Saccharomyces cerevisiae S288C: one gene and its partner. Changing the gene in region 1 together with any one later gene gives a genetic interaction. Each region holds a gene or a part of one and is shown on either strand. Other genes may lie near its edges.

The links.
Region 2: mutations in GAG1 (region 1) and YMR155W together harm fitness more than expected from each alone (negative genetic interaction), as found in Saccharomyces cerevisiae (one large-scale study listed by BioGRID).

The regions. Positions count from the first base shown.
Region 1 is NC_001144.5:930,214-934,392, forward strand, and holds GAG1 (Gag1p), read left to right. Parts: upstream 1-2,753; coding exon 2,754-3,440; downstream 3,441-4,179. Other genes in the region: DUS4 (tRNA dihydrouridine synthase), read left to right, coding at 1-679; 60S ribosomal protein eL31 RPL31B, read right to left, coding at 852-1,136, 1,486-1,542; YLR406C-A (uncharacterized protein), read right to left, coding at 1,993-2,142; BLS1 (Bls1p), read right to left, coding at 3,672-4,040. UniProt on the Saccharomyces cerevisiae protein: Deletion results in antifungal drug fluconazole-resistant phenotype.
Region 2 is NC_001145.3:565,794-570,694, reverse strand, and holds YMR155W (uncharacterized protein), read right to left. Parts: upstream 2,145-4,901; coding exon 501-2,144; downstream 1-500. Other genes in the region: TPP1 (polynucleotide 3'-phosphatase), read left to right, coding at 1-395; RIM13 (Rim13p), read left to right, coding at 2,513-4,696; FG-nucleoporin NUP53, read right to left, coding at 4,833-4,901.

The DNA.
Region 1 (4,179 bases):
GATATACAATTCAGATTTGTTATGCAGTATGGTCCATGCTGTGAAAGATAAGTATGGCGACAAACTAAGAATTGAAACGAAAATAAGAATACATGAGGCATTGGACGAGACGGTGGAGTTATGTAGAAAGCTATGTGATGCTGGGGTAGATTGGATTACGATTCATGGCCGAACACGTAGAACTAGGTCATCGCAGCCGGCTAACCTGGATGCGATAAAATATATCATCGAGAACATCAGCGACAAAAATGTGCCTGTAATAGCGAATGGGGATTGTTTTAAGTTATCCGATTTGGAAAGAATCACCAAATACACTGGTGCACATGGTGTCATGGCTGTGCGTGGGTTGTTAAGCAATCCAGCGTTATTTGCTGGATATACTACCTGCCCTTGGGGCTGCATTGAGAAGTTTTGTTATTGGGCTCTAGAGTTTGGTGGCTTGCCTTTTCAATTGGCTCAGCACCATCTGTACTGTATGCTTGAAAATATGGAGTTGAAGAAATCTCTGTTAAAGAAAATGATGAATCTTAAAAATTACATTAGTCTGATCGACTGGTTTAATAAAACCTTTGAGTTCAAGCGTTACGGCGAGGATGGATTTGGCATGGGCGTTGAAATTCCTTATAAAGCTAATAGCTGTGTGCAGAGGAGCGCCTCAGTGGTTGAGAGACAAGAATGAATAAATTTTGAATTACAAAAATCTAATAAACTGTGGTACTGAAATTGTATATATTTTCCTATCATTCAAGAGCGTATACTCGTACCCCGAAAGCAGCTCTGTTTGTGTAATAATATAACCTAAAAGAAATAAAATGCTTATAAGATGGACATTATTTTTTTTTTTTTACAATTTAAGCATCTTCTTCAACGACAACGGTTTGTAGACCCTTAGCAGAGGCAACCAAAACTGGTTCGACGTAGGAAAACAATGGGTTCTTGGCATCTTCTTCTTCGTTTCTCTTTCTGGAGATTCTCAATCTCAATCTGTATTCAACACCCTTAACACCTCTTTTCCAGATAGCTTGGTTCAATTCTGGGGCTAGACGGACATCTTCAGTACCCATGTGTAATTTGGCGAATTTCTTGATTTCCTTCACAGCTCTTGGAGCTCTCTTTTTGAAACTGACACCATGTAGCTATATTAATATCAATTCAAGATTGGTCTGTTAGTAAAAAAAAAGTTGTTATAAGAAGGTGGAACTAAAGCATCACGCCAAAAACATCGGCCCAAGCGCCATTATAGTGTAAACGTGAGGTACGGATATCGATCGCAGAACACAGAGAAATGCAGTACCGAAGAAGAACCTTCCAGTCCTTGCATCACGCATTCCATATAATAACCTCTAATATTCCGAATTAAAACCTGGGGTCAATCATTGGAAAATGAAATTTCACCCGTATAGATTTCGCTTGGTATTTCACCACAATATCGCTTGTTGGCTTTCAATAATTTCCCACGTAAAGACAACGCTAATTTCGACATACTCTTTTGTGCAAGTTGATGGTGTATTCACGAGTGACAACGTCTTTTAAACCGGCCATTTTCAAGTACTTTGGATTATCTGCTCGTGCAATTGAAATATACTAAGACCCAAGACTATGTAAAACTAAGGAACCTATCAACAATGAGACTGGTCAAATAATAGAGTAAACATGTACATGAAGCACTACCATCAGAAAGAGCTTACAAGGTTACGAAACAACGTCAGTGCCCTCTGTCGCATTACCCTCGGTTTCGCGCCCTTCCAGTTGGCATTTGAAGTGCCAATCCAATTGTGAGCACATCCAACTAGCGTGCCCTTGCAATCCCAGAGGACACCATACAACTTCCAGCCTAGTAGTGAACTTACCAGGCGAGGAGCGCGGGCGCCAGAGGGCAGCTCATCTGCGTTCCGGCTCTAACGAGAAGGGCGGAAATGGCACCATCACCTGAAAAAGAACGTAATCTAGGCTGAGCCGCGCCTTTAAGTTTTTGTCGCATCTGGCTGCGCTTCATTTAAACGGCACTCCTAAAAAATTGTATGAGGTGATTTTTTTTGTGTACAGATGTACGGATGTACGGATGTACGGATGTATACTATGTAATAATGCACGGATGTAGAGAAACAGAAACGAGGATAATAAAATCGGTTTTTGTATCATCTGGCGGCGATATGGCGCAAGGCTTTAAGTAAACGTCCTATATGGTACTAACGGGGTTTTATTCCGAATCAAAAGAAAAAGAGATACGAAGTCTCTCTTAGTAAAAAAGTCTTTATGGAAGATTATCGATAATTCGATAATTCTACCGACAACAGTGGTTTTGTTTGGCTCAGCAAACGTGCAGCACCATGATCTTGGTAGATTTCTTCTTTACCCTCACCTTCCCCACACCATGTTTGCTTGCTACCCGTGTGTAATGCTATCAGCGCGCGTTTCTTTTTTTTTCTTGCTAACATTTTTCAACTTTAAAATGAAACGATGCATGAGTGATAGAGGCATTGAACTTTAGTAAACAATAGAAATAACCATCGGAGTTATTATTTTTTTCTGCTTATTCTTTGGTCGCAAAAAAGTGTGTTGTATAATTCTTTGGAATATTTATAAAAACAGGGAATACTCTAACAACAAACGCTAGTGCTTAGCTACTCTTCCGCTGGTACTTCAATATAGCTTGTCACATATTTTTGTCCATTAAGGTCGTTAAAACCCGAATAATTTTGTACGATCAGTTTAGTAAAAGAAATACAGTATTCAAAAGCTAACGGTTTATTATGACTGTTTCTACTTCCAAGACCCCAAAAAAGAATATTAAGTATACCTTAACACATACTTTACAAAAATGGAAAGAAACTTTAAAGAAAATTACCCACGAAACGTTGAGTAGTATCGATGACTCTAGTGGAAGCGATGAAAAAATAGAGGCTCTGTTTACTGTGTCTCAGCCTGCCGTCGTAGCCTCCAAGGGTATAGACAGAGATAGTGGTGCTTCTATGTCGCAGGTAGGAGGAGGTGTCAATAGTACATTGGAGATGAAGCTCACAGATGAGAGTGAGGAATCTAGCTCTGCTAATAACACGACCACAACCGCCTCGCATACTCTATCGAATTCGAAGAAGTCTACGCAGAACTTTGAAAACTATAACGTAGTGGAGGAACGCATAAAATTAGCACAGAAAAGTAAGGCGCCGTTTTGTAACGCTGAGAAAATCTGGAAACGAAGAAGACAACTCTGGACACAACCCACTGAGCAAAGTGAAAGCGCCAATAATGACGGAGTTACTCGAAGGGAGATTTTCCAAGCTATACCTCAGGAATATTATGCTCGAGTTTACAAGAAACTGGTGGTAGATGATAAGCCATTGAGAGAGCCTCTAAATCTGGAAGATGCTTTACAAGTCATAAATGCAGGCTGGACGGAAACGAGAAAGTGGGCTAATGCTGCCAAGGGCATGCCATGACTGAGTGTCGACGTCCTTTTTGTTTTGCCTTATAGCATCTTTTCCTTTCTTCAAATTTGCATTACACAACTTTAACTCAGTTAAAGAACTTCGTCATTTACTTATTCTTCTTTTTTTTCTTACCCTTCTTTCTCAAATCTTATTTCTGTATAAAATACGTATTGATTCATTCCATTAATAATAACATATAATAATAGTACTAATTTAAAAACATTGAATATATTTATCGTTTTATTTCGAGTTGCGATTCTTTTCTATCAGTTGGTACGTCATTTCAAGGATTCGGAGATCCCTATCCACAAGCTCTGCTTCCTTTTGTAATGCTTCGGTATGCCCCATATACGGAGTGTACTTTTCCAACATATAGTTAATAGGAGAAACACACTTATTTTTAAATGAGTCGTCATGAAGTCGCAATAACTTCTTCAACTGTACATTTAAAATATATGATTGATTATTTTCAATTTCTTGCAAAGTCTTCGAGGCTTCTGTTCTATGCGGAGAGTTGATTATTTTGTCGAGTAATCGGTCAAGTTCTTCAGACCTGTTTGGCATTTTTACGATTATCCAGTTCACACACATTGAGAATGTAAGGAACATTTATTTATTGTCGATCATTTATTAAATGTGGGAGGGACCCTTTAAGAACACTGCAACAAACCCAATAAATAATTCTTGGTTACCCTCTCAAAAAACATCATAGGAAAAAGAAAAATATACAATCTGCCTTTGTTACTAA
Region 2 (4,901 bases), on another chromosome or scaffold:
ATAAAATTTTGCTATTTTTAAAGGCAATCAAAAACGATGAGAGAGGAGAAACGTTATCACACAGGTTATGGCTATATGCAGCACCTAAAAGGCCGAAAACTTTTGCAGCAAATCATAGTAAGATCACATTCGCAAGCTTAGGTGAAAGTTATAACAATGATCCTAACATATTCGAAAAAGTTCGAAAACCAATGACAGGAATGGTAGAGTTTTTTAAAAGGGACCTGGAAAGTGCATACAGGGTTTCAGAACAAATTTCTCCCATCAAGTTGAATTGGATATATTATTGCGGTGACGCTGCTGGGAGGAAAAAGGACTTCAGTGATTCTGACATAAAGTTTGCTGAAAACTTGCACGTTGAATTCAAGTACCCTGAGGAAATATTTCACGGGTAGTCCGTTGTAAAATGTTGAATATATACCAGTATATAGTAATATTTCTTAAAATGTTCATTTGTGATGGTGAAAAAGAATATGAAAGCAATGTCAGGATGACACCGTCTACAGGGAATTTGCAGTTGCTCTTCTTCGATAGTACGTATATCCAATTATCCCCAAAACGAACAAAAGATTAAAAGCGGCACAATATTTCGTAACCATAAAAGTATAGCTGTAGCAAAGCACTCCCTTTTTACAGTTCCCATCATCATCTCCTGTATTTGCCTTGAAATCTCTACCTAATATATCGGTAAAAACACTCACTGAAAATACACCACCAGTCGTTAAAACACCCCACAGCGTACTATACCCATTTGTGCCAAATCTATCTGCTACTATGGAGGGGAAAGTACCAAATAGAACGCCAAAAGAATAACCGAAGATCGCTGAGCATACCGAAATATTCTTGAATGATTTGGAGGCTCTTAAAGAAGGATCTTCAATGCTGCTGAAGTCATGGGATATTTTATTCGATGCAAGAAATACCAAAAGCGATGCTATGACAATATTCCATAGTCTTTGAGCTTTGAATTTCTTGACCAAAAAATCTGATATAGGCCCAGATGATAATCTGCCGCAAAATGAAAGAAGAGACAGGAGAGTTACTTGTAATGATTGAATTTTTTCTGCATTAATTGGTAATTGATTTAAGGGTGGAGTAGAAACCTGGGCTTGTACCATAAACCCCACAGAATATATGTACATTAAACCCACGCCTTGTAGTATACCCAATACTATGTAGTAACCAATAAATGTTGAAGATTTTAAGCTTTGGAATACATGTAATCTCATACTTTTCTGTGCGCTATTCTCGCCCACTGTATTTTTGCTGGTATTCTCATCCTCGAAATCATACTTTGTGTGTGGGGAAGAAGGTGATAACAATGGTCGATTTGATAACTGTCTATCCTCAAGTGCAAAAAATTCTGACGTTTCCTGAAAATTGTCTGACAATGCATAAGTTTCATAGGTAGCAGGGGATGATGAACGCACAGGTGAACCTATATAGTCATTACTGTTCTCATATAACGGTACTATATTATCGTCTGTTTCCCTGCTTTTTTGAAGCTCCCATTCCTTAATGCTAGCATCATCTCCTTCTGCATTAGAGAATATATCTAATGAGAAATAGCCTACTAAAATCATGCAACCACACGCAACCATCAAGAAAATGAAGACATGCTCGATGTTCTCACCAAAAAGCTTTGAGCAAAGATATGAGAACACCATGCCCGATAAACCGTATAGGGACACAGGAAATGCCCCAGCTGTACCCCTGTGTTGAGGAAAATTTGTATTTGCACATTTCACAGAAGCGTAAAAACCTGAGACAGAACCATATCCAATGAGTACCAAACTTAACGATATGAGAAAAGTACTAGACCATTCGTGCTTATAGCATAAATTCAAAATCAAATACGCGATGAAAACACACATTGAACCAATTAGACAGGACAGTTTAGGACTTCGATCGACAACTATTCCTGCTAAAATTCCCATCAGTGAGCTTCCTATTGTTAAAGAGAAGGATAGCTTACTTGAGGCAGAAACAGGTATGTGGCACTTGCTCAGTAGCTGAGGAGCATAAAATGAGAAAAGATAAGGTGTTCCAGCACCAAGGGCAACCACGTTACCTCCCACAAAACTTTTGAGATGTCCAAAGTGATTTGTATTACCCATTTTACTATTTTGGTGTTTCTTTACCATGGCACTCTGTGAAACATTGGTTGCTGTTTATCGAGTATCTTTGAACCGCGCAGGATTTATTTACCTTATCTCCAGATCTTCGATATCGACCAAATGTAAATATATTTCTGTAGGAAATAGAGGAACAACATAAACTTGAGGAGAAGTGGTTTTTCATGGCTCAAGTTATGCTCTGAAATTTTAAAGAAAACATATATACTTCTTCTTTCTTGTATTCTTGCGGATATTTATCCCTTTTTGATTTTATGATACTACAGTTAAATGTTCTTTTAGTCGGCATAAACGGACCACAATAATCAACTCTAGACAACTTATTAAACGGTTACTCGACCATTTCAGTCGAAGACAAGAACCTTGTGGTATCAAAAATGAATGATTGGCATGAGTTCAATGCCGCGATAAAGTCAATATATTGTAATGCAGAAGGTGACTCAAGCAGTATAATTAATAGATTGGTTGGCTTGGCAATGAAAAGCGAAGATTCCACTTTTATTGAGGCCGTTTTAGTTTTGAAAGAAAATGTGTCGAAAGTAGATAAACAATTAAGATTTTTATGGCTTACTTCAACTATTAATTCAAGGTTTTATCCCCCTATACCTATCTCAGAAGCCTCACCGGTTTCTTGGAATAAAACCGAATATTGCGCACCTGGTACTGAAGAACTACAAAGGCGTTATCCAGGGAGAGCCAAGTTACAGAATGAAGAAGACTATTCAGGCGGAATAGAACAATGCCGAGATGTGCCAGATTGCTCATTAGTTGCTTCTCTAATTAATCTTAGGTCTAAGAACTTGAATCTCCCTCTAATTAAACAAATATCATCAACTAAATATCACGTCAATTTAAGTTTTAACGGAAGCAACAAAAGGCTAGTGACAGTAGATATTTCGCAGATCCCAACCTCAGTGGATGGCAAACAACTTTCTTTAAAGAGTAACGATATTTCGGACAAAATTGGAGAGCTTGCATTACTGCTTGTTTCTAAAGGAACATATTCCACGGATGGCTCAAATATTAGTATAGATACTTACCGCTTAAGTGGCTTCTTACCAGAGATAACACAAGTAAACAGCTATCCTTTCGAAAAATTATGGAAGTTTCACAAATCTAATTTATGTCTGATGGGCGCTGGCACCGGGAATCGTTCCAATGACATGATAAAGCCCCTAGTTGAGAACCATGATTACTCTATAATTGATATCACATATGATTCTAGGCTAGTAAAATTGCGAGATCCGAGGAACTCGGCACTAAATGTTGAAATCAGCTATGAACAGTATTTAAAAAATTTCAAACAACTTTATCTTAATTGGAACCAAGAAAAATTATTCAAACGTTCTCAGGTACTTCATTTTCGGTACGATACTTCACGCTACAATAAATTTTCTATCGTTGCAGATAAACCTTTATTTCACCTGGTAAACAATTCTAAAGTGACAGAGACGGTATGGTTATTGCTAGAATCCCATTTGCAAGATGAAGGCAGCCAAGAAAATCGGTCAGTTTCCTTTTTGAATGAGGCTCCCGAATGCATAATTTGTCCAATTGAACCTCCAGTAGAATGCGGTGGCAATCACATTGGACTTCAGCTGGTAAAGTTGAGATTAGATGCTGAGACTGAGAGGTTATTGTATTGTTATTCAACAACAAACAACAATTTCAGTATTCACTCTTTCTCAGTTGTGAAGGAAATATGTTTTCAAAGATTGAAAGATACAAAAAGTCTTTTTGCCAAAGTCCTTTTCTCTTTTCCTTATGAAATAGAGGGAAAAGCCTCATTTGATACTTGTAATTTTTTTCAAAATCCGACTTTTGAGTTGGAAGTTCACTCTGAACAAGATTATCAAGTACTTATGGACGCCGCATGTATCTCAACTAGCTCACATGATTTAATTAACATCCAAGTATATTACTTTAATGACTATGAATTGATAAAGCCAATAATGTTTGATAACCACTATCAGCCCGGGCAGGGCCTTAAACAAGACGTGCCCATCTTAACTAATGTCAAATATATGATTGTATGCTCAACTTACGGCCCTCCAGCCTCAACGGAATTTGAATTACTTGCCTCGATACGGTTATCCTCTTCATGGAGGTTAATATCTGGAATAACTTTACGGAGTGTTAACTTGATATACGGTACTTATCCATATCATTGTCGCAACAGGTTCCATTGGAAGGAAACTTCAGACAAACTTAAAATTCAGATGACTTTGCCAACCAAAAAGTATTCTACGAACAAACTTTTTATACGTGTAGTACCCGTGGAATCATCAGCACGATTAAGGATGCGATGTAATATTTTCGAGCCTGAATCAGCTCTCTGTGTTTATGAATGTCAAGAGTATAGGACATGTCCATCTGGGGGCATCGTTATACCTGATCTGGAAGTCTCTCGTACTAACATTGTTGTATTGATGATAGAAAGAAGTGTACCTATTTCCAGTTGTTTACCTACGGAAGGACAATTGGATGAATTGGAGTTGTTTGTTGGGTCCAGTCAAAAAATCAGAATTGAAAAATACTCCGATGATGTGATACCAAAATAACTGTGCTTTATCTCAAGAACTGTCTATCCATCCTTTTTACAATTCTACACACAAAATTATATAACCTTGAAGTAGGTGAACATCACAGGATGCTGGAATCGCACCAAAGCACTACATTTGGGGGTAAGGTTTTTCATTACAAATCATTCCATCCAAATAACCAATTATTCAATCTATTTAACCAACTTTTCTTACTCTTGCTCGC